Lonchura striata: one gene and its partners. The protein of the gene in region 1 purifies or fractionates together with the protein of each later gene. This does not show direct contact. Links are inferred from orthologs where the notes say so. Each region holds a gene or a part of one and is shown on either strand. Other genes may lie near its edges. The genes, in order: SMARCA5, RBBP4, HDAC1 and HDAC2.

Region 1 (7,388 bases):
AAAAATAAAAAAGAAGGAAAATAACAAATTTTCTCCTTTCTAACCTGTGAAGCACAAAACCAGCATCCATCTTCAAAAATCTGAGGACTCTAATTAAAGCTTCATAAAGAGATTCCTAGACAATCTTTCCAGTTCTGACCGAGAAGCTGAATGCTCAACTCTTTATAATCCCCCTTGCCTAGAGGATGAACTGCTCTACAGGTAACTTTAAAATCCTGGAAAGGAGAATGGTCCCAGAAGTGTTCTTCTGAATATTTTTTGTTTCAAGTTACTTAAATATTTTTTAATACCCAGACAAATCTTTATAAATCTGTTTAAGATATTTCAAACAAGCAAACAGAAAACTCAAATCTATTTTAAATAAGTGCATAAGTACTAAATGTACACAGTGCCAAATATTACATACCATTTTCTCTTCATATGTAGGATCTGTTTCCTGGATTTCTTTTTGCTTTGCCAGAGACGTATCATCAAAAGGCTCCTGAGATGAAAAAGAATTAAGAAGAAATATTTCTGAAAAAGAGAAGATACCCATCTAAAGGAGAACAAGCTCGTTTCACATTGTATCAAAGCAGCAAAAGTTGGTCGTAGCACCTGATGTGGATAGACAGTAGTCAGTTCTCTATTATTACCTATACAATTACCTGGAGATGAATCGGAGATCCCTGCCACAGGGTGAGGGACAGAGCTGAGTCTCTGTAATCTGATTTAGCTCCATCATTAAAGCATCACATCAATGTGAATGAGGGAGACAGCTGTGGTCCAGGAGATCAGCATGCCAGTTCTAGGGTTGTGAGCCAACCCCCCTGAAGCTGGCTCTGAGACGGACTGTGAAAGCACCAGCTCTAGGCCTGAAGCAATTTCAAGGTTTTTGCCAGATTACCCCAATCCCTCATCACTGTGTATTAAAAAAACAAATCTAAACAAGAATCCACACTGCACTTTTGTCCTGAAAGCTGAGGAGGAGTTTAGGAAACTGTATTTTTTTTTTCCTACATAGTTTACTAAATTAAATAATGTTTATCACCCATGGTACTACTAACAACAGAAGGACCAGCTGGCTAGGAGAGGGCAGTCTTCCCTCATGCCCTTCCTGCCAAATTCTTAACATACTGCCTTAAATTACTCTTCTGGATCAGGGCTTTTTCATCCTTGTCTTTTCTGTCATTAGGTTAACTCTTTGCATATTGTCTCCCCATATGCATTTTCATCTCCTGTTAAAACTAAAAGCAGTGAGATGATCCTTCCCTGATAAACAATGCTAAGGTAACACATAACAAAATAACTGTTGAAAGATTGAGAAAATGAAACAAATGAGATGCCGTCAAGTGTTTTTACTGTTTATTTGAGTTTAGTAAGTATGGGGCTAAATTAAATCTTTATCGGCCAATACAGAACAAAGGAACAGGAGAAGAAACAAATGAAACAAAGGCTGGCAAGAAACAGGATATTCGTCAGTGGGTATTTCCTCACAAGCCTCTAGCAGGTGAGGCATGTGGAAACAGAAAAATCCTAACACAAATGTTTAATTCACTAGACAGAATATAAAGAATTGAGTGTAAGAAGTCATGGCTAAAGCTCTTCTGAAATCATAACTAAATCCTCTTACTCATCCCTCACTGGACTGAGCCAACACCCAAGTAAGCACAAGCAGAGGACCGTTGGAACTTCTGTTCGCAATTCCCCTTTCTGCCACAATGCCTAACCTGGAAAGCACAGCAGCAGAGCGGCACGGCCATCCGAGCTCATCATCTGCTGCACAGATGACAGAACCCTGCAGCTGAGCTGGAGACCAGGGAAAACAGTCCTTCAGATGCTCACGGCTCCAAGGCATTCCAACTCAAACTTCACTGTACGCCAGGAAATCCCTTCCCAAGGTAAAAAAAGGAAAGGAATTGGCAGCACAGAGAGCCCTCGCACACGGGCGCCACAAGAGCACGCGTTTCTCAGCCTGCACACGCTAAACTCCAGCCTGGAAGTGCCCTATTTCTGCAGGTTCGAGCAAGATTAATTTCCCACAGTGCTTTGGCTACTTGTTCATCCGAAAAACATGGCATTTGCAATGTAATTTAGCACAAGTAGGTTGAACAGCCCAGCGTGACTCAGAGTACAAAATACCCAGCGCTGAAAGCAGGACCGACCAGTTTCCTGCTATCATTAAAGAAACAATGCCGCGATAGAATTAGCATCTCCAGGCAATCACTTCCAACCCCCTGAAATTTCTGGAATATATGCACCTATTGCCAAAACAACCCCTCTCACAACCCTCGCACCTCTTTTCTCAAAAGAAAAAAAAAGGAAAAAAAAAATAGAAAAAAGTTTTGAAGCACTTCAGCAGACAAACATCGCTCATGCGTTTTAGACACCGGGCTGGCTGGCGGCTGGAGCAGGAAGCGCAAAGGCTGGGCAGGGTTTCGGGGAAGCAGGAGCAGACAGAAAGCCTGGGGGTGCGCGGGGGGCTCCCGCCGCCCCGTTTGGAAAACAAGTGGCGTGCCTCGGCCGCAGTGCCTTCTTCCGCGCGTCCCAGCGGCAGGACGAGCGCGACCCCTCCGCGGCGGGGAGGGGGCGAGAAGGACGGGACACCGCAGACATCGCACGGCGCCGGGCCACGCTCACGGCGGGAGGGCGGCGGGACCGAGCGCGGCCCGGCCTTGCCCGGTGCGGCCCCGCGGCCGCTCCTCCATTGTCTCCCGCGGCCCCACGCGGCCCGGGTGTCCCACCTGCCGCCGGGGGAGCGGGGGGACCCCGCCGGCCGAACCGACTCACCTCCATCTTCGCGTCGCCCCCGGCCAGGCCGGCGGCGCAGGGCGGCCCCGTCCCCGCGGCCTCGCCGGTGTTGGCACCCGGCGGCAGCGGCGGCGCGGGCGGCTCGTCCGGCCGCGGCGGCTGCCCGGCGGACATGATCCGCGTCGTGAGGAAACGGCGCCTCGCCGAGGCTCGGGCTGGCGTCCGGCGGGCTGCGTGCTGCGGACAGGCGCGGGCGGCAGCCGGGATCTGCCGGCGGCGGCGGCCTGCGGGTGTCGGAGCGCGGCCGGCGGAGGGAGCGAGGCCCGGCCCGGCCCGTCCCGGCGGGAGCCGCCAAGCCGCGCGCGAGTCGCCCCGCGAGCCCGCGCTCGCGAGACTTCCCCCGCGAGCAGCGCGCGCCGCCGCCGGTGGGGGCGCTGCGGCGCGCGCCGGCCCCGCCGAGCTCGGCGGCGCTCGGTGCGACCGCGGCGTCCCCGCCTCCCTGCGATGCACAGCCGTACGGGAAACCTGAGTTCAAATCGCGGCTGGCATCGCGTTTCACGCCCTGTGTACGATCACAGCGTATTCCGAGTTGGAAGGGACCCGCGAGGATCGCCGAGTCCGCCTCCTGGCCCTGCACAGGCCATGCCCGAGGGTCACACTGTGCCCCAGCGTGGTCCGGATGCTTCTTGAGCTCGTGCTGTGACCACTTTCCTGGGGAGCCTGTTCCAGCGCAGGCCCAGCCTCTGGGGGTAGGATTTTTTTCCTGACATCCAACCTAAACTTCCCCAACAAAACTTCAGGGCGTTCCCTGGGGGATCCTCTCGCTGTCACCACAGAGAAGAGCTCAGTGCTTATCCCTCCTCTTCCCTTCAATCTCCAACTGCAATGGGGTCTCCCCTCAGTCTGCTACAGGCTGAACTGACCTCAATTGCTCCACACGTGGCTTCGCCTCAAGGCCCTTCACCATCTTCACAGCCCTCCAGGAAAGGCTCAGGAATCACCTGAGGAGGTGAAGCCATGCTCTGGCTGGAGCCCAGCAGCAGCCCCGCACCCCGTGCGGGAGCGGCAGGGAGCGTGGTTAAAGCAGGTGACAGCAGTGTGCTATACCGTAAGTTACTCAAGAGGCAGCTTCAGGTTGCTCTATGGGCTCCTCATCTCTCCATGAGCTCTGGGTAGAGGGACTTGAACATTCACAGAAAGGGTGTCACACAGAGCCACCCTCCAAAGTCCCCTGCTCTCGCTTGCTCAGGTTGAGCCAGGCCAAGTTTGTAGGCACAGAAGTACACTTTTGTAACCTAAATACAACCACAGTGTCTGCTCCCAGCTTGAAGCATCGTGGGCTGCAGCCCCCTGCTTTAGGATGTAATTGAGCAGATCTACACCTGCAATGCCTCACAGATAACCTGCCAGGTGCCACCTACCAGAGCATGCATCCCAGAACCCTGGAGTGCACGGAATAGGATGAAACTGAACAGGAAAAGCTGCTTAAGAGCACTACTATTGCACTCAAGGTGCTAACAGAGGCTGTCCAAAGGGCCAGACCTGAGCTAGTTAGAAGCAAAACTCCCCTGACTGGTTCACAATGTGGACAGTCATGTTCTCCACATTATCCAAATTGCTCTATACATCTGCAGATTTGTCACACCAGTAGGTATTCCGGCAATATTCACAAGAGTTGTCAGTGTAGATGCAGCCACTGAGTGCACTCCATAGGTTTGTGGAGCTGCATCTTCCATCTTCTGAGAAACCATTGTAGCCTGGAATGTAGCAGCAAAACAGACCATCTTCATGATGATTATTACAACCTTCATTCCATTGTCTTTTATTACAGGCATCCTTTAATATTTTTTGAAGTTAAAATTATTAGCTTTGACATTTCCAAAAGACGGTGTCACTTTTTTTCTGCTAGAACTGCTCAGAAGAATAAATTCCCAGAAAATATCAATTTTCCTAGAATAGGATTTCTCAGCTAATCACAAATTTACTGACATATTTTTCCAACTCCTCGTTGTCCTCTCTTATCACAGATGAAAACTCTGTCCCTGAGCTTCGCTAAATGCTTTTCATTCAGGTACACAGTTTGAACTTTAAAAATACATGTGGCAGCAAATTACAAATTAAAATAACTGTGTTATTTTAGCCAGCTCTATTCTTCCAGCGTAGTTTTGTGTCTACTTGCTGTGCCTCAGCTCCTGCCCCTCTCCCAGAGCTGCTCCAGATAATGCAGTGCTCTCTGTGTAGTGAGGAGTGTAAGTCATGGTGGGAAGGGAGCTACATTCCCCCTTTCCCATTTTTCATCTTTTGCCTCCCCTGCAAAGCACACAAACAAAACCACACATGGAGAATCACTGGTGAAGGAAAATGGGGTAGAAGGCCCTTGGGAAGAAGTCAGGTGTTTGGGAAGAGTGGCGAGGATATTTCAACACCTTTGACACCATCTTTTAGACTAAAACTGATAGGTAGGATCTGGTTTGATGGGGAAGGTAGAAAAGCACAACTCCATCCAAATCTCATTGATCCTTGGCCATCTAGCAAAATAAAACAGCACCATGCCAGGGTGTGGGGGTGTTGAGATATTTGTGTTATTGGTATCAGAAAAGGTGAATGTTCAGCTCTACTTCAACAGGCAAAATAATTGAAAAAAAAAAAAAGAATCTTGCCAAAAGTTAAAAGACAAAAGGCTCTAATTTTTTTTTTTTTGAATTTTCTGAAGTCCTGAAAGTAGCACAGAAGACTATGCAAAAAACCTCCAGAAAACCAAAACTGAAACAAAACCCCACCCAACAACAACAACCAAACCACCCCCCTCCAAAGAAACACCCCAACGAAAGCAGGAAAGAGGACTTTCCAAGTTAACATGAAAAAGTTCACAAACACACAAAACCATAACAGTCCATACAGAGTCCAGATGTGAAGACCTTAAATTGAAAGCAACCAATGGCATAAAGAAATTCATAACAGAAGTTACTGAACCTACTGAACACCTACATAATGGTCAAATGCACAGTAAAGGAAGATATCCCCTCTCAGCCATTACCCAACAGTAGAGACAACTAATTACTAACATGCTTATGAAGTTAGTAAACAACAGTTTAATAACAGATTTTTGTCAAATCTCTCAGGTGACACATCTTTCAATTTTGTTGCTTAGTTGTGCAATCTAATTTTAATTAATGTTCTTTAGATGGCTCCTTGTTAAACAAGAAATTGAAACACCACAAGTAAAAGTAACTCTGATACTATTAGCTGTGCAGCAAGTATGCTAATAGGCATTGCTGAACATGTATCAAAACTGTAAAACTTCCCAAAATTTGGGAAACGGAAGGAGTGAAACAGAGTTGTTTGTAGTTGCTCCATGATATGCTCATTTGGGTTCAAGAAGGTAAGAGAGGGGTAAGAACTTGGTTTGTGTTCAGATCTTAGGTGGGGGATTGTAATTTTTTTTTAGTTTACAGAGCCAAAGCAAGATACTACCCACGTGAGATGAGATACTGCCAGTTCTACTTCCTCACAAGGCTGATGTTGAGCTGGACTATCCCATCAAGAGTAAATACAATTAGACTTATTTCAAAGCCATCACTTCTGTCACTGTCACTTTTCTTCTAGCCTCAGATTAACAGTGCTGCAGGCAAGAGGTGGTGTACACACACACACACGATCAACAGTCAAAGAAGTCATCAAAATAATGCTATATCTATTTCAAAAAACCCAAAAACCACCCCCAAAATAAAACAAAAACCCCAAAACACTCTGCCTATCAGCAAAGGTCACTGTCATCAGCTTTATCGTAACTGTCAACACATTGATTTACAGTATTAAAAAAATCCATCCCCACAAAAAAAAAAAACCTCAACATATGCAAACAATACCATATATTAATTTCAGTAGATTTCTTAATGCAATGGAAACTTTTTAGAGTTTAACATATGTAGGTGTATACATTTCATCCTTGTGCTTTTTAAATTTTGAGTGCCATGAAGATGACATTGAGATTGTTCAAATTTTAGTGTAGCCATCCTGGTAAAATTAAACTTTCACAGAAAAGAAACAGCCCAGACTTCATCTGACGTGCTTAAGCAAACTGTAAGCCTGTCGTGTGTCTACCTTCAAAAAGTAGACTGCAAATATAGTGACATGTGAAGACCAAAAGTTTTTAAAATTGTGTCCAACCACAAATGAGAGAATATTTGGTAACAGCAACATGGCATGCAGATAGCATATCAGACTCTGCTTGTGCCTAGTTTAAAACAATCCCTTTGATCAGTAAATTTTACCCATGCAAAAAAAGATGACCCCATATGGAGTCAAATGCTGATACTCATTACAGAAATCCTCGAAGAATGGAGATTCTGTAACAAGCAGCACCCTCACAGAAAAAAACCCCAGAACTAATAAAATGCTTTTAGATTTTATTTCTTTGCTGCTATGACTGAAAAGCTCAACCAAAAGGCAATCATATATATTTTTTCAATATGCAAAATAAATTTTTGTATAAAAAATAATGCACAAACACAGACACAGATCATTCCATTTTCAAAACTCCAGTTTCTCCTCCATCTCAGCAACTAGGTTCTGCCCTGGCCCTGTTTCCTTTAATGAAGTTCACTCCTCACCTTACAGTATTGCAACCAGAGCGAGACAGGGCAAGGAAAGACTCTTTT
Region 2 (6,822 bases), on another chromosome or scaffold:
TCATTGCACAATCCAAACTTCCTGTAAAAAGTAGAGCAAACATTGGATCATTGAGGACTTTCACCTGGTGGAAAGACTGATTCAGCCAAGCAAACAGGAGAAATGTCTAACTTGAGACAGCCACAAAGGTTACAAAGCATCAAATTAAAGTCTGATACATGGAATGAAATATAATTGTGGAACAGCAATCAGGCAGCAGAACTCACAGAATGTTTGAAATGTTAACACTCCTCTGAAATAAAAATATTCTTTTACGTGAGTTTGTGTAAAAATGTTTCGTGTGACTTTGCGTAATGCAAATGTGGTAATAAAAACACCAATTAAAAGCAGTATGTGAGATTCAAGGTCAGTTCCTGAAAAATAGGGAAGGGAGAGGTTTTCCCACACACAAATATTTTTGCAATCAACCTCTACTGTCTGTTTCCATCATCAGAAATATTAGATTAGTAACACATTCAAGAAACAGAATTTGTCTATTAAGGAGGCACCACTTAGAAATAATTTTTTTTAGAAGTAAAATCTAAACTTTGCTGCCTGAACTTTAGGGAAAGACAGAATTTCCTACTGAGAAATGGAAGGGGAAATGGTTCAAATTCCCCTTTTTTTGGGCTCTTACCTCCTTTCTCACTGTCATAGTGGGAAGCATCAAACTGGGCATCGTCGTTGGGCAGCTGCACGCTGGCGATCACCAGGTGGTTTTGTTCATCTGAGGTGTGGGTGCCCAGCACCAACCTGTGGATGCTGAAATCTTTGCCTTCAGGTCTGCAGGGGAAGAGAAACAAAACAGGGATCACCAAATCTCTTCCCTGTGAGGATGAGGAGGTGCTGGCACAGGGGAATTTGTCCAAGGCCAGGTTGGGCAGGGCTTGGAGCAATGTGGGATAGTGGAAAGTGTCCTTGGATGAGCTTTAAGGTCCTTTCCTGCCCAAACCACTTTGGGATTGTGTGATCTCAACCTAAAAGCCAGCACAATCCTGGATTTTCTGCTTGTTCTGCTTTAAAAAGAGAGCAGAAGGGTCCCTTTACCTTGTGACATCAGGCAGCCACTGAGCAGTCAAGCTGGGCCACTCCAGGGCATGGGTCATCACCAGATCATACAGGAAGGGGGTGTTCTTTTTCCATATCTTATATTCCTCGTTGATCACACGCTCTTCCACTGCATCATCAAAGGCTGCTGAAGTGTTTTTTCAAGAAATACATGCAATTAATTATTTGTAAATGAATTTACAGACATACAGCGCTGTGGGCAGGCAATGGGTTAGAGTCAAGTACATCAATCACACCCTGGTTTGCTATTTGCTCTACTGGAATAGTTACTAAACGGTTAAAAATCCCCTGTTGCACATGCTAATCCTTTTTTATGCATACATGGCTGGGAATTAACATTAACTATGTCATATTTCATGCCTAGAAGTGTCCCAGGGCAGGCTGGACAGGGCTTGGAGCAAGCTGGGATAGTGGAAGGTGTCCCTGCCATGGCAGGGGTGGAATGGGATGAGTTTAAGAAATGGCTCAGAAGAGGAAAATCCATTCTGGGATGATTTGAGGACGATGCTGTTAGAGCAGCACAATAAAATTCTGAGACTCAAGCACAGGGAGGCAAAACCCAGGCTTGTAAAGATGTTTAAACACAGGAGATCCAGCAACTGCTGTTTAACAGACCGGTCTGGGCGCAGCCTTGAACTACTTGCTCCCAAAAATCCAGTTTCCCAAGGCTCCTTCTGCTGCCTTGTAGCTCTCCAACACTTCCTTGGCCTATCTGTCACCAGCCTCCGGTGCAGAGAAGGTGACGGGCAGACCTGGGGGGGCTCACCCGTGGAACGGGGACACCCTAAAGGAACTGGGGACACCCCCATGGAACGGGGGACACCTCCATGGAACGGGGGGTACATACTTAAGGAACCGGGGACACATCCTGAAGGAACTGGGGGACAACCTCAAGGAATCGGGGACACCCCTAAGGTACCGGGGGACACCCCCAAGGAATCGGGGACACCCCCAAGGAACCGGGGGTACATCCTGAAGAAACCGGGGGACATCCTCAAGGAATGGGGGACACCCCCAAGGAACCGGGGGAGATCCTCAAGGAATCGGGGACACCCCCAAGGAACCGGGGGTACATCCTCAAGGAATGGGGGACACCCCCAAGGAACCGGGGGACATCCTCAAGGAATGGGGGACACCCCCAAGGAACCGGGGGACATCCTCAAGGAATCGGGGACACCCCCAAGGAACCGGGGGTACATCCTCAAGGAATGGGGGACACCCCCAAGGAACCGGGGGACATCCTCAAGGAATGGGGGACACCCCCAAGGAACCGGGGGACATCCTCAAGGAACCGGGGACACCCCCATGGAACCAAGGATGTCCCCCAGTTCCTTCAGGGTGTCCTTTAGGGAGACACCTCCATGGAACCGGGGAACACCCTCAAGGAACCGGGGACACCCCCACGGAATGGGGGGGACACCCTAAAGGAACTGGGGACATCCTCAAGGAACTGGGGGACACCCCCACAGAACCGGGGCTCTCCCACGGGAGGGGAGAACCCCCCTGCGGGACCGGAGCTCACCCATGAAACGGAGGCACCCCCGCCCAACCGGGGCACCCTCCGGTGCCACCCTCGTGTGCCCGCTCCCCGCGCAGGGCACGGCCCGGCTCTCCCGGCCTCACAAGCCGCTCCGAGGGGCACAGGGGCGGGCGGAGGGCCCCGGCCCGGGCCGCTGCCCGCGGGCGGTGCGGCGGGCGCGGGGAGCGGCGGCGGCCATGCCTGAGGGGGAGCGCTCAGGCCCCGCCCCCGCGCGCCCCCTGGCGGCACCGCCCCGCTCCCCTCACGCCGTAACGGAGCTGCGGGGGGGGAGAGGGAGGGAACCCCGCGCCTCCCGGCGGAGGCCGCGCCGCCCATAACGGAGCCTTTACCTTCCTTATCCGCCATGGCGGGGCGGGGGGGGAGCGCGGCGGGGCGCGGGGAGCGAGGCTGGGCGAGGCGGGCGGGCGGTTCCTGCGCTCCCTGCGCTCCCTGCTCCGACCCCTCCGGCCGCGGCTCCGTCTATTGTTTCCTGCCCCCGCTGCGTGCGGCTGCCGGCGCCGCGCACCCCTTCGCGCGCCAACGCCGCCCAATCAGCGCCCGCCGCCGGGAGGCGCCGGCCAATCGGCGGAGGGCAAAGGGGCGGGGAGGGGAGCGCGCGCCGCCGTCCCGTGGGCGGGCTCCCCGTGGGAGCCGCCATTTTCCGGAGCGCCCTCAGGAGCGCTCTTAAAGGGGCCGCGCCCCGAGCTGAGGGGCGCCGGGTTCGGTGCCAGTTCCCGGTCCCTCGTTTGGAAGAAGCGGTGGCTGCGGCTCCTCCGGTCACCACAGACGTGGGAAGTGCGTATCGCAGCGGGACCGGACCGGTGCGAGTGTGGGCCGAGGCCGCCATCCAGGGCCGCCCTGCCACCATTGGGTATCCTCGGCGTGTTATTAATTCTCTGTAATCACGAATATGTTCCCTTTTCCCACAATTTACTGCCGCGGTGAGTTTTAAAGGCGTGACATTTGCTGGTTCTGGTCGGCTGCTGTGCTGTCCACAGGTGAGGCTTAACAGGTTTAAAATCAAATATCAGTATCTGGGTTTATTCCTCAAGGGATACCTCGAGTTCTCAACTTCAGACACCTCTTTCCAACACACTTAGATTTTTAGCTGAAATTAAAAATTGGAAATCTTAAGCCTTGTTTCTAAGCTTTGGAGTAAGAAGCGACTCCTGTGTAAAAGTTAAGGTATATCTATAAATTATTTGTGTTTGGGGAAGTGCTGGGTTCAGCTGAGGATAATTCTTATAATGCACAAAAATATTAAAGAATCGTTGTGATATCTGGAAATCTGGAGAGGTAAATTAATCAGCCTGAAGTTAATTGGGTTCATCAGTTTCTCTCATGTTGAATTTACAAAAGAACAGGAAAAATAAAATTTGTGAGATTGGGGTGTGAGGATCTGACTTTTATATGGGGGAGTTGATACATTTTCTTTTTTACAGTTCTTTTTTTTCCCCAATTCTTTTCTTTATACAGTTTTTTACAGTTGATACAATTCTTTTTTTTTGTTTTATTTAAAAAATCAGCTGGAGAAGGAACACAGGAAGCCCCTGGCACTTGGGTGACAGCTGGATTTACCATGCACGTGCTTTGAGGTTTAATTTTTTTCCTGAGGAAAAACCTGTAAGGTCACATCAGGGGTTTTTGGGGGCAGTGACACTTCAGGTGTGTGGTGTACAATGGGCTGAGCACCCTCAAAAAATGAATTAATTAGAAAATTGAAATTAACCTAAAGCATGGAAGTTTAATTCACTTCACAGCAGTTCCCATCAGGGCTGTATTTTATTAATTGTGAATGAACTGAATGCTCAATGTACACAAGGAGGAAAAAAACAGAATTCCTCCCAGAAAAGGCCAAAATCCACAATTCCTATAAGGAATATTTTCCCTTGGCTCTGCTGCCTGACCAAACATCACTTCATGGGTGTGGGATTTAATTTCTTCCCTCCCAATCTGACACAAACCAGCTGAAATTCGGAATCCTCCCTGTTCTCCACAGGTTTGTGAGGAAAGCAGGAACTGAGGGAGAATTCCTGGCTCTGCCCCAGCCTGAGGAAGGGAGGGATCCCTGGGGAGCCCTCAGCGATGGCAGCCGAGGACAGGGATTACAACCTGACCCAGGAGCAGAAGGCTGTGAAGGACAAGTACCCCCCTCTCTGCAAGAAATATGAATGTGAGTATTTTTATTTTTTTAAAATATTATCATGATGCAGCGTGTGGCAGTGCTGTTGTGAGGGCAAGGAAGATAACAGGAAATACAGGAATGAAAAACCAATTTTCTTCATGTTACTTTCTTCATTTTTTCCTCAATGTGTTTCCTCATTCCTTTTTTAATTTTCTTCTTTTTATATTTTTTCTTCTTCATATTTTCTTCTTTTTATTTTTTTCTTCATTTTTTTCTTATTTTTATTTTTTCTTTTTCTTTTTTTCTTCATTTTTTCTTCTTTTTCTTCTTCATTTTTTCTTATTTTTATTTTCTTCTTTTTTTCCCTCATATAAACAATTTTTCTTGTTATGGGCACTGAAAAAAAAAAAAAAAACAACACGCTGGAAATAAATGACTCAGGTCTCACCCTGAAAACTTTTCCTCTTCTGAGCCATTTTTTAGCAATTTCTCTACCTCTCCTGTAGGAAGGGACATTAAAAAGTGGGCTGGCTTTGTGTGTGGTGTTTTTACTCTCCTTAAAGATCTCTCCCTTTCCCCACCCCGGGAATGGCTCCTCAGAGGATGTGGGTGGCAGCCCAACCTCTGATAGAATTTCTATTTTTAGGCTGTGTTCAGGTCTTTATTTGCTAGAAGTGCAGAAATTGTGACACATCACAACAGCCACACAGTTTCCATAACTGGAGGAGCTTTTATCCCTCTTTTGCACCCAAAGGAATTTGTTTGCTTTAGAGACTGTTGTCTAATAGTGCGTGATCTCTTTAAACAGCACCAAATTTTTTTTTTTTTTTCAGTTAAAGTGAGCATTTATTTCACATCCCAACTTAGTTCTGCTAGAATTTTCATTTCTTTAATTTCTTTGAATAAACATCAACAAGGTTCACGTACAGCTGGATACATGGGATGTTAATCATGCTCCATGAGTAAAGTTTGCCTTCTATTTTATATTCCATCCTCTGTTTTAAATTCTTCTCTTTGCATAATGGCTGCTTTTGGGTGTGCACAGGTAGATTTCCTTACTGAGCTGGAAATATTTGCAAATCTCATCCTCTGCATGAATAACTTTGAGTCCTGCAGACTTCAGCATAAACATTTTACTCCTGGTGAAAGTTTCTTGTTATTGCAGTTAACCTGTGGAAGCCTGTTGGGTTACAGCAGCCAAACCCTGCACTGACATAATCACATTAAACAGGTTTTTTGGCAGAAATAATATCCAAATTTCCACCTGTGCTAAATTTTTCTAATATACTACAGTAGATTTATCATATATGCAGACGAATGTAAAAATGTTTTGTTAGAAAATCAGATATTTTTGTTATTTTTTTAATCCTTATATTATAAATACTTTTGGTGACATTCCTTTTCTTTTTGCTTCCCCTCAGATTTGGATCACACAGCAGATGTGCAGTAAGTGTGGGCAGCTGGGATTTCTCAGGGTGACAAATTGATTATTTTTTACACTGCTTTAAGCCTGGAGTAACAGCCAAGGACACTTTGCAGATGTAACACCTTGTGGAGCTCTGAAATGTCACTGGGTGCTTTGATATGGTCAGTTTTGCTCCTGCTTTTGGGACACCATAGAATTACGTTTGGTTTCTTTTTTAGCATTCAGTGCTATTTGGAAACGTCTTTTGAAATCTCCTTTTAAACAAAATTTCTTCTGTGTGGTTTACTTTTATAGACACCATTTAGTCACATTAGGAAAGAAAACTAGTAAAACATTTATTTTCCACATTCTCCCAAGAAACTCTTCTGACAAACTTCTTCTAGAAAAATCAGGTGGTTTTTTTTACTCATTCACCTCCTCTGCCTGAGTTCCAATGTTCTAATTGCTCATTTGCATGTGACTTTGGGGCTGTTCCTTTTTGTTGTGATCCAGTATTGTGTTGCAGCGATTGTTGCATGTGTTTTTAGGCTCCAGTGATTGTTGCATGTGTTTTTAGGCTCCATGCCTGGGGAGACACCTTGGAAGAAGCCTTTGAGCAGTGTGCCATGGCCATGTTTGGCTACATGACAGACACAGGCACTGTGGAACCTGTGGATACGGTGGAGGTAGAGGCAGAAGGTGAGGACTGCACCTCTTCTATGCAGA
Region 3 (7,525 bases), on another chromosome or scaffold:
CCATCTTTTCCCTCCATCCTTTCCCTCCATCCTTTCCCTCCATCCTTTCCCTCCATCCTTTCCCTCCATCCTTTCCCTCCAACCTTTCCCTCCATCTTTTCCCTCCATCTTTTCCTCCATCTTTTCCCTCCATCTTTCGTTTGGGGCTGTGAAACTCCATCTCCAGCCACCCCTTACAACTCCCACCCAGCTTTTGGAACCTCCAACATCTCCTCCTCAGCTTGGGCTGCCCCGTGGAGCCGCCCTCCTTGGCTGGCACCGCTGCCCGGTGTCCAGATCCCATTTTTGCCTTTTTTTCCCCCAAGGGTTCTACAATGGGCACACGAAGGTGGCAGTGAAGAGCCTGAAGGCTGGCAGCATGTCCCCCAGCGCCTTCCTGGCCGAGGCCAACCTGATGAAGAAGCTGCAGCACCAGCGGCTGGTGCGGCTCTACGCCGTGGTCACCAAGGAGCCCATCTACATCATCACCGAGTTCATGGAGAAGGGTGAGGCCACCCCTCACCCTTTGGAGGGCTCCATCCACAGGGAAGTGGCCACGGAGCTCTGGAACTTTAAGGCTGGAAGAGATCTTTGGGATAAAGTTCATGCTGTGAAAAATCCCCACTTCAACAGACAGAGCGCTGGGGCCTGGGCATTGTCCTGACAAGGGTGGCTGGGCCTGGCGTGGTTCTTGTGGCCCAAATTGTATCCTGGGCATTGTCCTGGCAGGGGTGACCAAGCCTGGAGTGGTTCCTGTGGCCCAAAATGGGTCCTGGGCATTGCTCTGGCAGGAATGACCAACCCTGGCATGGTCCCTGCCACCCAAATTGTGTCCTGGGCATTGTCCTGGCAGGGGTGACCAAGCCTGGGGTGGTTCCTGTGGCCCAAAATGGGTCCTGGGCATTGCTCTGGCAGGAATGACCAACCCTGGCATGGTCCCTGCCACCCAAATTGTGTCCTGGGCATTGTCCTGGCAGGGGTGACCAAGCCTGGGGTGGTTCCTGTGGCCCAAAATGGGTCCTGGGCATCATCCTGGCAAAGGGTGACCAACCTTAGACTGGTCCCTAAAACCTGGGGGTGATCTAGCTTGAGTCCTGGGCATTGTCCTGGCAGGGGTGACCAATCTTAGGGGGGTCCCTGCCACCCAAACTGGGTCCTGGCCATTGTCCTGGCTGGGCTGGTCATTCCTTAAACTCCTCCAGGGTGGTGACTGCAGCACCTCCCAGTGCAGGCTCCAAAACCAGTCAGAATGAAAGACTGGCAATGTGGAAATTTGTTCATTTTAGAGGTTCCTGCGCCTCCAGCCCCGGGGAAGCTTTGCCTTTGTTCTCTCCCATATCCAGCTGGGGCATGAAGGATTTTCTGTGTTCTCCCGGCCACATTGCCAGAGTTTTTTTTGGGGGGACAGGGCCCTTGTGACCCCCCAGGCCCCCCAGGAGCTGAGAACTGCTGCTTTCATCACAGGCAGCCTCGTGGACTTCCTCAAGACCTCGGAAGGAGTCAAGCTCAGCATCAACAAACTCCTGGACATGGCAGCGCAGGTGAGGGGGGAGCAGAGAAACGGGGAGAGAGCTGGGAGACCTCCGGAGCTGTTAATTAACAACTGCAATTCATCCATAATTACAAATCCCAGATTGCCGAAGGCATGGCTTTCATCGAGGCCAAGAATTACATCCACAGGGACCTGAGGGCCGCCAACATCCTCGTCTCGGACACTTTGTGCTGCAAAATCGCCGATTTTGGGCTGGCCAGGCTCATCGAGGACAACGAGTACACAGCTCGGGAGGGTGAGCCCCGCCCAGCCCCGGGGGTCACCGGGCTTGGGGACACCGGGAGGGGGACCCGCGGCCAGCCTGGATCCCCGGGGAGCTGCAGGAGAGGGGTGCAAGGATGGATTTTGCCTTTTCCATCTCTCTCCCCCCGCGGCTGGAGTGCTTTGGGGGGGCTCCCGCAGGCTCGGGGGGCTCAGCCACCAGAGCCAGCCGGTGCCCAGGCAGCGACAGAGCTGTCACACGGAATTCAATCAGGTTCCAGCGCTTTATCCTCCCCTTCCCACCGCTTTCCAGGGGCCAAATTCCCCATTAAGTGGACGGCACCCGAGGCCATCAACTACGGGACGTTCACCATCAAGTCGGACGTGTGGTCCTTCGGCATCCTGCTCACCGAGATCGTCACCTACGGCCGGATCCCGTATCCAGGTGAGGATTTTGGGGCAGCTGCGGGGCCGGCACGCCCGCGGTGTGTTGTGTGTGTGTGTGTGTGTGTGTGCGTGTGCATGCAGCGCTGCACGCACGCTGCTGCCAGCCTGGCACCCTGCCCGGCCCGGCTGCACCGGGCACGGTGGCCAAAGCCACCTGGGGAGGGGATGGAGGGGATGGGAGGGGATGGGAGGTGCCCCCCATGCGGGGTTTGGGAGGGTGGGGAGAGGTACCTGCCACCCAAAATGGGTCTTGGGCATTCTTCTGGCAGAAATGACCAATCCTGGGGTGGTCCCTAAAACCTGGGGTGACCCAAACTGAGTCCTGGGCATTGTCCTGTCAAGGGTGACTGAGCTTGGGGTGGTCCTTGCCACCCAAATTGGGTCCTGGGCATTGTCCTGGCAGGAATGACCAACCCTGGGGTGGTCCCTGCCACCCAAACTGGGTCCTGGCCATCCTCCTTGCAGGGGTGACCAACCCTGGGGTGGTTCCAGTGACCCAAACTGGGTCCTGGCAGGGGTGACCAACCCTGGGGTGGTTCCAGTGACCCAAACTGGGTCCTGGCTGGGATGCCCAACCCCAGGGTGCCACCCACACCATGGGGATGACCCGAATCGGGTCCTGGCAGGGATGACCAACCCCGAGGTGATCCAGAACCTGGAGCGTGGCTACCGCATGCCGCAGCCGGACAACTGCCCGGCGGAGCTGTACGAGCTGATGAGGCAGTGCTGGAAGGAGAGCCCCGAGGAGCGCCCCACCTTCGACTTCATGAAGAGCGTGCTCGAGGACTTCTTCACCGCCACCGAGGGCCAGTACCAGCAGCAGCCCTGAGGGTGCTGCTGTGGGGTGCTGGGGGTGCCCCACAGACCCCACGGACCTCACCCAGGCTGGGGTGGGGAGCTCTGTGAGGATTTGAAGTGCTCCAAAGCTTGGGAGAGCAGATTTGAGTCCTCCAGGAGGAGCTGCAGACCCCCAAAGCTTGGGGCATGGCGCAGATGTCCTCAGGGTGCCCACCCTGCCATCCCTGCTCTTCCCAGAGGGAAAATCCAGGCTCCAGCCCCCCAGGGCTCTCCTGCCCCACTCTTGTGTCCCTTTCACCCCCTTTTGGCTTCATGAAGAGCGTGCTCGAGGACTTCTTCACCACCATGGAGGGCCAGAACCAGCAGCAGCCCTGAGGGTGCACCTGTGGGGTGCCCCACAGACCCCATGGACCTCTGAGGGGTCCAGGATGAGGGGGGAGCTCTGTGAGGATTTGAAGCATTCCAAACCTTGGGGGCTGCAGATTTGAGTCCTTAAGGAGGGGCTGCAGACCCCCAAAGCTTGGGGCATGGCACAGGTGCCCTCAGGGTGCCCACCCTGCCATACCTGCGCTTCCCAGAGGGAAAATCCAGGCTCCAGCCCCTCAGGGCTCACCTTCCCCATTCTGTGCCCCCTTCACCCACCTTCGACTTCATGAAGAGCATGCTTGAGGATTTCTTCACTGCCATGGAGGGCCAGTCCTTGAGGGCTCTGCTGTGGGGTGCCCCACAGCCTCCATGGATGTCTGAGGGGTCCAGGATGAGGGGAGAGCTCTGTGAGGATTTGAAGCATTCCAAAGATTGGGGACTGCAGATTTGACTCCTCCAGGAGGGGCTGCACAGCCAAAGCAGTCCCCCAAAATCTGGGGCATGGCACAGATGCTCTCAGGGTGCCCACCCTGCCATCCCTGCGCTTCCCAGTGGAAAATCCAGGCTCCAGCCCCTCAGGGCTCTCCTGCCCCGCTCTGTGCCCCCTTCACTCCCTTGGGATGGCAGGAACCCCCCCCAGCAGCGCTGGCCACCGCACCCCGCGGCTGCTGGAGCTCCCTCTGCCCTCACGGCGTGCGCAGGAGAATTTTACAGCGACTTTGGGGAAATAAAGGCATTTTCAGCAGCGGGGGCCAGGCTGCCACGGGGTGCGGCACGCGGGGCGATGCCCACAGCACACGGACCCCACCGGCACCAACCCACCCCAGGGAGCCCCTGCGACCCCCGGGACCCCCCCTCAGCCCTGGTAGCCACCCCTGGCCCTTCACTCGCCCAACCTGCCCTGGCTCCCCCCTCCCCTGGGATGGTTCAGCCCCACCTGCCCCCCCCACCCCACCAAGGGAATGGTTCCTCCCTGCCCACCTGGACCCTCGATGGTACAGCCACCACCACCCCCCCATCCCCCGCCGCAGTGGTACAGCCCAAGCACCCCCGGCGCTCAGCCTAACTTGCTAGGTGCCGCTGCGCCTTGCCATTGGCCAGCGGGCGGGAGGGGGAGGAACGGAGAGCTGCGATTGGCCGGCGCGGCGCGGGGGGCGGGCCCGCGGGCCCGGGGCGGGCGGGGTTGGGTGCGCGGCGCGGCGGCGGGTCGGGCGCTGTGAGGGGAGGCAGGAAAATGGCGCTGACGCAGGGCACGAAGCGCAAAGTCTGCTACTACTACGATGGTGAGGAGCTGCGGGCACCCCCTCGGGGCTGCCGGGCCGCGGGGGAGCCGTCCTGGGGCGGGGGGGAGGGGGGGATGAGGGGGCATCGCGGACGGAGGAGGCGGGGGTGAGGGGTGAGGGGTCATGAGGCGGTAATGGAGAGGGGGGTGAGGGTAATGGGGTCACTGAGGGAGGATGGGGGTGCTGGGGGTGGGATGAGAGGTTGGTAATGGGGGATCGTTGGGGTCATGGAGGTGAGGGGGTTGAGAGGTTTTGGGATGGGTGTTGGGGGTATTGATGGGCGGGGACGGTCGGGGAATGGGGATCAGGGGTTGTGTGGGGTTTTTAATGGGGTTGAGAGGCGTAGGGAGCGTGTGGGGGGCATGGCAGGGGTATGGGGAGAGCTGGAGAGGAGAATGGGAAGAGTGGAGGGAGATCGGGGGGTGGGATGGGGAAATTTGGGAGATTGGGGGAAGATCAGGGGGTTGGGATGGGGAGATTTGAAGATTTGGGGGAAGATCAGAGGGATGGGATGGGGAAATTTGGGGTTTTGGGGGAAGATCAGGGGTTTGGGATAGGGAAATGTGGGGATTTGGGGGAAGATCAGGGGGATGGGGAAATTTGGGGATCTGGGGATTTGAGGGAGTATCAGGGAAATGTGGGGATTTGGGGGAAGGAACAGCGGGATGGGGAAATTTGGGGATCTGGGGATTTGAGGGAATATGGGGGAAATGTGGAGATCTGGAGGAAGATCAGGGGGATGGGGATTTGAGGGCATATCAGGGAAATGGGGGTTGGGATGGGGAAATGTGGGGATTTGGGGATTTGAGAGAAAACCAGGGAAATGTGGGGATTTGGGGGAAGATCAGGTGTTTGGGATGGGATGGGGAAATGTGGAGATCTGAGGATTTGGGAGATGGGAAAGGCTGGGAAGGGTCTGGGCTTGGTGAGAGGGGCTGGAGGCCAGGAGAGAGTCTTTTTGGGTGCTGAGGTGCTGGAGGAGGATTTTGGGCTCTGAGGAGGATGAGGCACTCCTGGGACAGCGTTTTTTTGGGGTCAGCAGGGGCCAAAAAGCTTTTGGGAGCCAGGGTGGCTGTGTGCAGGCAGCTCCTGCCAGGAGCATCCTCCAGCTGTGCCTCTGGAGTGTGGATGGTGGCTCCTTTTGGGGCTGCCTCAGCATCCCTGTGCAGCAGGGAAGGAACAAATCCCAAATCCCAAATCCCTGGCTGTCCTGTGGGGCTGAGCAATCCCAGTGCTGCCCCTCTCCCTTCCCCTGCTCCTTTTTCGCTGCCTCTGTGCTCACCTTGTGCCACAGGCCTTGTGCAATTCTCTGCTCCCACACGGTTTTTGGCCTGAAATCAAATAAAAAACTTCTTCTTGCTACTTTTTCCCCCTCTCTAAGGAAGGAGGCTTTTCCAAATCCTATGCTCAGAGCTTTTTTTTCCCCCTCTAAAAATGTCGTTTTTTTCCCTTCAAATAGGAGGTTCTCAGCCCTGCTGGGTTATAATTTTTAAAGGCATTGAATTATATCTGAAATATGAAATAAGCAGTTGTTTTGTTTGAAATGCTGCTGCCCTGCAGGTCTTTGCTGCACAAGAATTTCACCAATTTGGGTTCCATACTTTGTGGTGAGCTTTTAGTGCCATTTTTTAAATTTTTTTTTTTCCTTTTTACTGTTCTTTTCTGAGCAGCTTTTCAACGTCCACAGCTGAGGGGTAAAAAGCTGCTTTTACTGAGAGGAAATAAATAATTTGTTGATTGGAGCCTTTTCTTTTCCACGCTGGGAGGCTGGAACCAGCCTAACCTGCTGTGGGAATTCCCTGAATTTCATGGGATGAAGGAATTGGGGTCCTTCCCTGCACTCCTGAGTGGCTGAGGAAAGATTTGGGTGGAATTTCTCCATTCAGAGCCTCCTGATGGAGGGATTTGTTTAACCCCAGCAGAGCCTGCTCAGTTCACACTCCTTAATCTGCTCTGACGTCCAGGAGCAGCTGAGCTCATCCAGGGATCCACAGGGCTTGGGATGTGCTCAGCACAGGGAACAGGAGCTCAGGGTTGGCCCAGGGCATTCCCTGGACAGCTGATGGGGATTTTTGTAAAAGCTTCTCCGAGTTCTGTGCTTCTATTTCCTATGTACAGCCTCAAACATCTCTTACAAGTTCCCCAAATCTTGATTTAGAGGTAGTAAAATCCGTCCCTAAAACACGGCAGGATGGTTACACCAGCACGGGTTGCCAAAATGTGAGAAAACAGAATTATTTTCAGTGAGAAAAAAAGTGATTTTACCTGAAAAAAAAATTCTATTTACTGAAAGAACATCTCCCCAGAGCTCCACAGACAGGTCAATTCCAGCAGCAGACTTGCCTGGATGTGGGATTTGCACTTTTGGCATCTCATTTTCCTACCTGGAAATAGATCCATGTCCACAGGAGGAAGAAAAACTGCTTCTGCTGAAGGTGGAGAGTGGTGATGAAATGTGAATTCTCCCCTCTGAGTCACCGGCCAGACCGGCTTGGATCCCCTGCTTCCCAAAAGGAGCAGGAGTTGTTCCAGCCCAGGAACAGCTTGGGCTGGTTTCCCAGGAAAATGAAGCTTGGGAGAGATTCCTGCTCCCTGCAGCCAAATCAGGCAGAAATCTGAAAGGGAAATTCCTGTGAAATTCAGGGAAATGAGTGCCCCTGGGAAAGGAGGTGGAATAAAAACCCCATTTATCAGTGAGGTGTGAGCTCAGTTTGGAGGAGAAAATCCACGTGGGGAGGTGACTTTGTTCCCCATGTCCCATAAAACAATTCCTGGCGGGTGGCTGGAAAGGCCTGGGAATCCTCTGGAGGATTTGAAGGGATCAAAAGGGGTGAAACCAAGTGTGGAGCTGTAAAAGCAGAGCTGGGTGGTGTTTGCAGAGTCCAGAGTTCCCTGGATC
Region 4 (7,187 bases), on another chromosome or scaffold:
CATGAACTCACAGTAACCACACCAGTTGCTGCACGATTCTCTAGAGCTGTGCCAGTCTGTGCAGGAGCACAGAGCTGGAAAGACCATCTGGGGTCTGTTCTCACTGCTGTGGGCAACTGTACAACACCTTGGAAGAGCTACCTGAGCCACAATGCTGCAAAACCATGACAATAACCTGAAGACACATGGCAAGAGAGTAAACTAAAAACTATGATAGCCTTCCACATCTAGCATGGTTCTAAGCAGTGTGAGGAGCACACTTTGTTAAGCTGTATCAAGACTAGAAGAATTTCTGAAAAATATTTTAAGCAAGATCATGGAAGTATTTAAATTCATATTTTAATTCGTTTTTCCCATAGTATACTGGCTTAAATTTAAGCAAAGTTCCTGACCTGAGCATGATCACAAGCAGTGAAGATTCTGCAAAATTGGATGTGGTTAACTTTCTATTGCGAGCAAACTCAAGATAATGAAATCAAGCTTTGTCTACTCAAAGTTTATTAGTTCCACATACAGTATGAAGACTGTTAAAACTATTGATTTAGGAAAAAAAGCCTTAACAACAATACACTCTAAAGAAGTGACAAGCTAATTAAAAAATCAGCATTAAATGACAATCATACCAAGTTTCACAAAAAGCAGGGGGAAGTTTATTGCATCTCAGAAGATAAGCGTATATGCTTCTGGAACTTTTCAAGACCTTTTAGTGTGTAACTTTTAAGAAACAGAGTAAAAGTACGTGTGGAGAGCCAATTATGACCCAAAAAAAGAGGTAATTTACTTCAGACATGACATTCCTTTAGAGATATACCACTACCTCAGTATTTTTTTTTGTTTTGGGTTATTTAAGGCTTCAAACACTCTGTTCACTGTGATTCAATGGCTTTGCTGATACAACAGTTAGTATTATTCAGAATTGCCAGATGAACCACACAGTAGCATCAGGATATCTATTTTCGGTATTAACTCTAAAATTTTTTCTAATAACTCTATTTCCAAAAGGCATGCAAAATAATTGTTGGATTTGGCAACACAAAAAAATGAGACATCAAAAATATTCCAAAACTGTTTCTGGCACATATAAAATATTTATTTTAAGGTACAACAGGTAATATCTTCTCTACATTATTAACTACATTTATCCTAGTCTACAGATAAGCTGCAACTGCTTTAAGTCACCATTTTCCTGCCACCTCCAAACTTGCTCCTCTTCCAGTTTCTCCTGACTCTTCACAAGTATAGCTTTAATCATTAGATTAGGGAATCTAATGCTAGCATCGAGTACCAAATCCAGTGATCACAGAAAAACACTGTATCAACATCTGGTGAACTACAGCTACCTGACTTTATCAAATAAAAAAAAAAAAAAAAAAAAAAAGGAAATTGATTTTAAAAAAGGCAAACATTTTCAGAGAGAAAGCTTATAAACTATCACTGCTGTCTTTATTTCAACAAGGCGAAAAGTGATTCCTCTTCCCTAGGAAAAGTAAGATCCTAGCCTCAACAAAAGTATCCCTAACAGGGGCCTCCTTTCCCCTTTAGGCTGAACAAAGAACCACTGCTAGCAACAAAGAGAAGGGGGCGGCAACCACCACTCTGCCTTCTTTAGTGTGGTTAAAAAAAAAGCCAAGACAGGCCCCACAAGATCTGCCATTTCCAAAGAACAGCAGGTTTGCTACAGCAACACAACCTTTGATATCTTGAGTGGGTTTAGCCACTCATCTTCACTTCCAAAATGGTGAAAACACCAAAGGTCTCCGGCTGAACATCCTCAACCTCTGTTTGCTGACTATTTCCAAGACCAGTCTCAGATGCAGCCATACAAGATTGTTACAATAGGAGGCAATTTAATCAAATCTCTAAACTAATCTGCCCATCTAGCTCACCTCCCAGTACAAAAAGGGCTAAATAAATTCAAGCTTAAGAAAACTAGAAGTTCTTGGTGCTGCGGCCAGAGAAAACCGCAAACAAGTTGCTGAAAATATCTCAAACCAAGCACTTTTTTTGCCACGACTGACAACGCCGATCGCAAGCCCCCTGTGTCCCCACTACACCAGTGTGGCAAACTCAGAGGGCCTACATGCAAGTCAAATTCCACTATTATTAACCACCCACGCACACAACTTTCCGCGTTTTGCGGGAAGGGAGGCTCGTGGGAGCCAGACCTCTGCTCTGATCCGTGTTCGGCTTGGGAATGGGGGAGGAGGAGGCAGAGAGCCCCTGTCCCTCCGTACCCCAGACCTCGGCATGAAAGCGCTAGGCAGGGAAAGGCCTCGGCTCAACAATCACCAGGTGCCAGAGCTACACATGGCCTGGACTTTCTTTGCAGGGGAGGAGCCAGACACAGCAGCAGCTTCAACGCCTCCCTGCTCAGCGGATGGAGGGGAGTGTCTCAACTTTTCTTCTTCTTTTTTTTTTTTTTTCCTCTTTTTTTTAGGGGGCGGGCGGGGGGGGGCACGACGCGCGGGCGGGTGGTGAGTATTTTGGGGCGAAACAATGGCCACAGCACCTACCACCGGGGCTGGGGGATAAGGGAGCTCCCCGACCCTCACCTCGCCCGACTCCACCACGCCGGCCCCGCCGCCCCGCGGGGCTCAGCAGAGCCGCCGGCGGGAGCGGGGCGCGGCGGCGCAGGTGAAGCCAGCGAGGACCCCCGCCCGCCATGGGGCCGAGCCGAGCCGGGCCGGGCCGGGCGTGGGGAGGGGAGGGCCTCGTCCCGCGGGACGGGGGCGGCCGTGCCGGCGGGACCAGGAACACAGCCCGCCCCGGGCGGCCATTAGAGGGGCGCCCCCCCCGCTCTTGCACGCGCGCTCCCGCGCCGGCCCCGCTCACCGTCGTAATAATAGCAGACTTTCTTCTTGCCGCCGCCCTGACTGTACGCCATAGGGCTGCCGCGTCGGGGCCGTGGGCAGGGAGCGGGAAGCCGAGGAGAGCGCGGAGCCGGCTCGGAGGGTGGGAAGGAGGGGGCGGGAGAGCGGGAACTCGCGACGCCGGGACCGCCAGCAGCGGGAGCGGGCCGGACTCTCGGCAGCGGGAGGGGCAGCTAGCGGGACGCGCCCAATTTGCCGCCGACAGAGGGAGGAAAGGGAAAGAAGGAAGAGGAGAAGGCGCACGCGAGCGGACGTGGATTCCCGCCGCCCCCTCCGTGAAAGTTTTCCTTAGTTATACACAAAAGCCAGGGAAGAAGCCAGTGGGAATTCTTCATAAACAAATTCTTGGAGAAAACTATTTTCTGTCCCACCCCCACGGCGCGCAGTGGTACGATCCGCCGCGGGTGTCGGGGCGGTACCCCGCCCCTCAGCGGAGCTGTGTGGCGCATGCGCGGGGTGTCCCATGGCGGCTGCGGCAGGAGCGGGCACGGGGACCGCCGCGCTTGGGGCGCAGCGGGCCCGGCCCTGCCCAGCGCCAGGGCCGCGGCCGAGCCCCTCAGCCGCCCCGGCACCGCCCGGGGCCGCGGCCGAGCCCCTCAGCCGCCCCCGCACCGCCCGGGGCCGCGGCCGAGCCCTTCAGCCGCCCCCGCACCGCCCGGGGCCGCGGCCGAGCCCCTCAGCCGGCCCCGCGCCGCCCGGGGCCGCGGCCGAGCCCCTCAGCCGCCCCCGCACCGCCCGGGGCCGCGGGGCCTCGTCCCCAACCGCGCAGCGCTTTCCGCCGCGCTAGGGCCCGAACTTCATCCTCATCAGGGCGTCTGCAGATGCTCGGCCGGCTGGGTTGTCGCGTCTGGTCCCCTCCCCAACTGAAAGTCTACTCTTTTCCACAACAAAACTCGTTTCTGTTTTGTTTCGGCTTTTTTGAGTGCTCCTGTCTGTCAGTACTCTGTCTTAGTGGCAGGCGTTGCATCTCAGTATTCCTGTTCTAGAGGAAGTTCAAAGCATGCTTCATATAGCAATTCTCCCAAAAAATCAGCGCATGCCACACAAGAAGCATTTAACATCTGAATAATTTTTTTCTGGAGATCTATCAGCCGTTTTCTCTCCTTGCCTCGGCTCAGGTACAAACTCAGGAAGGAGAAGCATGACGGCATTCATGCTTAGCCAGCTTGCTTGTATTTCTATTTATACAGGGATTCACACTTGTGATGCCTGATAAACTGAGTCTGGGGGTACACATCAGTTACACTAAAGTTTACTGTTTCTTCAGCTGACCCCAAAGGCCTATATTTACAGACTTTACACTCATCCAAGTCTTGACCAAAGTTTGTTGATTTGCTGGAGTCTCTAAAAGTAACTAAAACCCCTGGTTATTGCCACATGTGCTTCACTATTTGAAAACAAGGCAACAAGTATAACCTATGTCACACAAAACCAATACATGCCTGAACACAGGTTTGGTCTTTGTTCCCAGGATTAGGTTGCTTTTTCCCCTAGAAGTACCTCACAGGGGTCTGGGTCCTTGTAATTGATTTAAAAAAATAATTTTATATTATTAGAGACAGACAACTGTAAAATAAGTTTGTTAAGCACATGCATGCACAAACACCTTAGGATAATCCTGGATTCCACCCCCCATCCTTCACCTTTTAACTAAAGGATATTATGTTACGATGTCATCAGATGGTATAGCATTTTTAAAGAGCTTTTTTCATATTCCATTTGGAAATTTTTCTCTTAGACATAGCATACAAAATTTATTCCTACATCTTATAATACAGCTGATGTTTGTTTCTTGGTGTGAAGTGCAGCAAAATACCTGTATAACACTATCAGAGGCACGATATCCATTTACTGATAAATTCCTTTTTATCTCAGCGTTCTTAGTGCTGTCACTACTTGAACAGACTTAGATTGGACTCCAGAAGCTCCATGATTTTGTATTGGCTAACCACCGCATTATATGCTTCTTTGACCACTAAAATTCAATGTGTTTATGAAATTACTCAACATTTTGTAGTTGTCTGATAAATTTTTCTATCAAAATAGTAAAACAACATATCAACTACCTCAATATCAGGAATACTTTTATTGCACCACATAGGGAATTCAATAAAAGCAGTGATGTATTGTTAAAGTTCTTATTAGGGACTTCATGTGAAGAAAAAAAGCTCATAATTTTAATTAGTCTCAAATGGATACTCAACCTCATATAGGAATAACTTATTTTGGTTTAAATGGCCTAAATCAAAAGAGGCTATGTTGCTTTCAGGGCAAAAATAATTATTCATAGTCTTCTAACATCTGAATTTAGGCAAGTGCAGCTCTTATTTAGAGAAACTCCTTGAATACCAACTCATACCTGCATTAAGAAAGTGTCAATAAGCATATAAAGTTATCCTTTTGTCAAAGGGGTAAGAATTCATTCACTGAATTCACAGTAGCTCAGTATGACAGTAAGGACACTATTACATTTAAAGGTCAGTAAAGCTTAAATATCAAGTTTCACGGGTTGTGTATACGAGGGTGATTTCCTAGACCAGTCCCGCTTCTAGCAATGCAGGTTTTGCAGATGTCTTCAAAGCTGCTTGTTAAGTGAACAGCATGCTACACAAAAGCTAATGATCGAGAGGAAACTTCGGAGCGTCACTTGTGGGGTAAACAGACACCCACACCGGCCAGCTGAGGCCCAGGCCCCTTGGAAAACTGAATAGACCAGATAACAAAGTATCACTGGGAAAGGCTGCTGTTACTTTTACTATGTTGCAACATGCAGACACTTTATAATGTAATGATTATTTTTTTTCTACCTTCCTGTAATGGCTTGTTTCTGTTACTGGGTGAATGCTAACGTTATTTCACTCTTTCCCTGCATCATTATATTAACATTAGCTTGTTATTTCACACTGAATTTATGTTATACCTTAGATAGTAAGGTTTTTTTTGGGAAGGGACATAAAAAGCAGCAATAAGGATCTTTTAAACAGAAGAGTAACTTTCATCTTCAACATATACATCCAACATTGCAATAGAAAGTATTATTATTTCTTACACATTTATCCTAAATCACATCTACTGTAAAAACTCACAAAATGATGAGGCAAATAATGGACAAGAAGGTCTCTATAAGTAACAGTTTATCCCTTTACTGTTCTTATCAAAAAGCAATCTATAATTCTCAAATCCCTTCACTCTCCCTACCTCCACTCAACTAAAGGTATTTTTAAAACAGAGCTTAAATGGAGGATCTGGAGCACCTATTTTTTCTCTTAACTGCTGCTATAGAAAAGCAGTATTACTTTGCACACCATGAAATGATGAACAATTCACCTTCTTTCTCTCTCCTTGCATAATCTAAAAGCAGAACGATACAGCTAGAAAGCTTGCCATCACCTAAGCTTATTTCTTATCCAAACTATTAAAGCCCATGCACACACGTCGATATAGCCACCTTAATTCTCTTTAACAGAGCTCAATAACTAATGAAATTGACAGGAAAAAAAAATGCACTAAAACTGAAAATGAAATCTATAGCAAATAAAAAAGAAACCCCAAACAGCCAACCAAACTAAAAATCAACCAACAAACCATTAAGAAACAACAAAACTTCTCTTTAAAAAGCAAAGAAAATTATTCACCTAAGAATTGATGAATCTCTGTATTAGCAAAGGCCAGAAAGGGTCTTTAAGATCACCTCATTCCAGACCATAAAATCAAAAATAAAAGAAAAAAAAACCCCAACAATCCAAACTAGTTTAGAGAAACATACAAAATATATTCATAAATTCAACTCCTCATATAAGAGTTACAGCTTATACCATTAAGCACAACTCAGCACACCCCACCCACCTCCCTTACCCCTAGCCATATTCCTTTCTCCTACCACCCTCTTTTTATCTGTGAAAGCAGCATTTTCAAGTGATACCTATTAGCACCATTCACAGCTGCAAGCTTGTAATCAACAGACATATATGTGTGGAGAAAAATCACAGACAATGCTCTTGACTTGTTCTGTTCATGCTGTTGATAGGCCTTAGATAAGCTCTGGAAAGCATAAGAGTAAATAAAGTTTTGGAGTCACTTTCCTGAGAAGAAAACATAGTTTTCATCATGCAAATACCTTGCTAATGAAATCACTTTATGTAGAATGTCAAAATCATTAAAGAAAACATAGATAAAGAGAACTAAACAAAAAAAAAGGTTCATATTTGCTCAGATTCAGATAGCTTATTTGCCCAGTAAGCACTGACAATATTGCTATCTACCAACTGCTTTTGAATTTCAAGGCTGCTCAATATCCTTCCTTAATTGCTGCTGGAA

The links.
Region 2: the proteins of SMARCA5 (region 1) and RBBP4 fractionate together in Homo sapiens (co-fractionation; 6 studies listed by BioGRID and IntAct, with this or other methods). This does not show direct contact. The link is inferred for Lonchura striata from reciprocal best matches to the Homo sapiens genes SMARCA5 and RBBP4.
Region 3: the proteins of SMARCA5 (region 1) and HDAC1 fractionate together in Homo sapiens (co-fractionation; 3 studies listed by BioGRID). This does not show direct contact. The link is inferred for Lonchura striata from reciprocal best matches to the Homo sapiens genes SMARCA5 and HDAC1.
Region 4: the proteins of SMARCA5 (region 1) and HDAC2 fractionate together in Homo sapiens (co-fractionation; 5 studies listed by BioGRID, with this or other methods). This does not show direct contact. The link is inferred for Lonchura striata from reciprocal best matches to the Homo sapiens genes SMARCA5 and HDAC2.

What each region holds. Positions count from the first base shown.
Region 1 is NC_134606.1:64,813,233-64,820,620, forward strand, and holds the start of SMARCA5 (SWI/SNF-related matrix-associated actin-dependent regulator of chromatin subfamily A member 5), read right to left. Parts: upstream 3,001-7,388; 5' UTR 2,902-3,000; coding exon 2,767-2,901; intron 482-2,766; coding exon 407-481; intron 1-406. UniProt on the Homo sapiens protein: ATPase that possesses intrinsic ATP-dependent nucleosome-remodeling activity.
Region 2 is NC_134628.1:930,448-937,269, forward strand, and holds the start of RBBP4 (histone-binding protein RBBP4), read right to left. Parts: upstream 3,008-6,822; 5' UTR 2,933-3,007; coding exon 2,917-2,932; intron 1,175-2,916; coding exon 1,027-1,174; intron 763-1,026; coding exon 617-762; intron 1-616. Other genes in the region: ZBTB8OS (protein archease), read left to right, coding at 4,652-4,739, 6,113-6,137, 6,674-6,795. UniProt on the Homo sapiens protein: Core histone-binding subunit that may target chromatin assembly factors, chromatin remodeling factors and histone deacetylases to their histone substrates in a manner that is regulated by nucleosomal DNA.
Region 3 is NC_134628.1:1,055,219-1,062,743, forward strand, and holds the start of HDAC1 (histone deacetylase 1), read left to right. Parts: upstream 1-4,519; 5' UTR 4,520-4,577; coding exon 4,578-4,626; intron 4,627-7,525. UniProt on the Homo sapiens protein: Histone deacetylase that catalyzes the deacetylation of lysine residues on the N-terminal part of the core histones (H2A, H2B, H3 and H4).
Region 4 is NC_134605.1:67,189,316-67,196,502, reverse strand, and holds the start of HDAC2 (histone deacetylase 2), read right to left. Parts: upstream 3,018-7,187; 5' UTR 2,885-3,017; coding exon 2,833-2,884; intron 1-2,832. UniProt on the Homo sapiens protein: Histone deacetylase that catalyzes the deacetylation of lysine residues on the N-terminal part of the core histones (H2A, H2B, H3 and H4).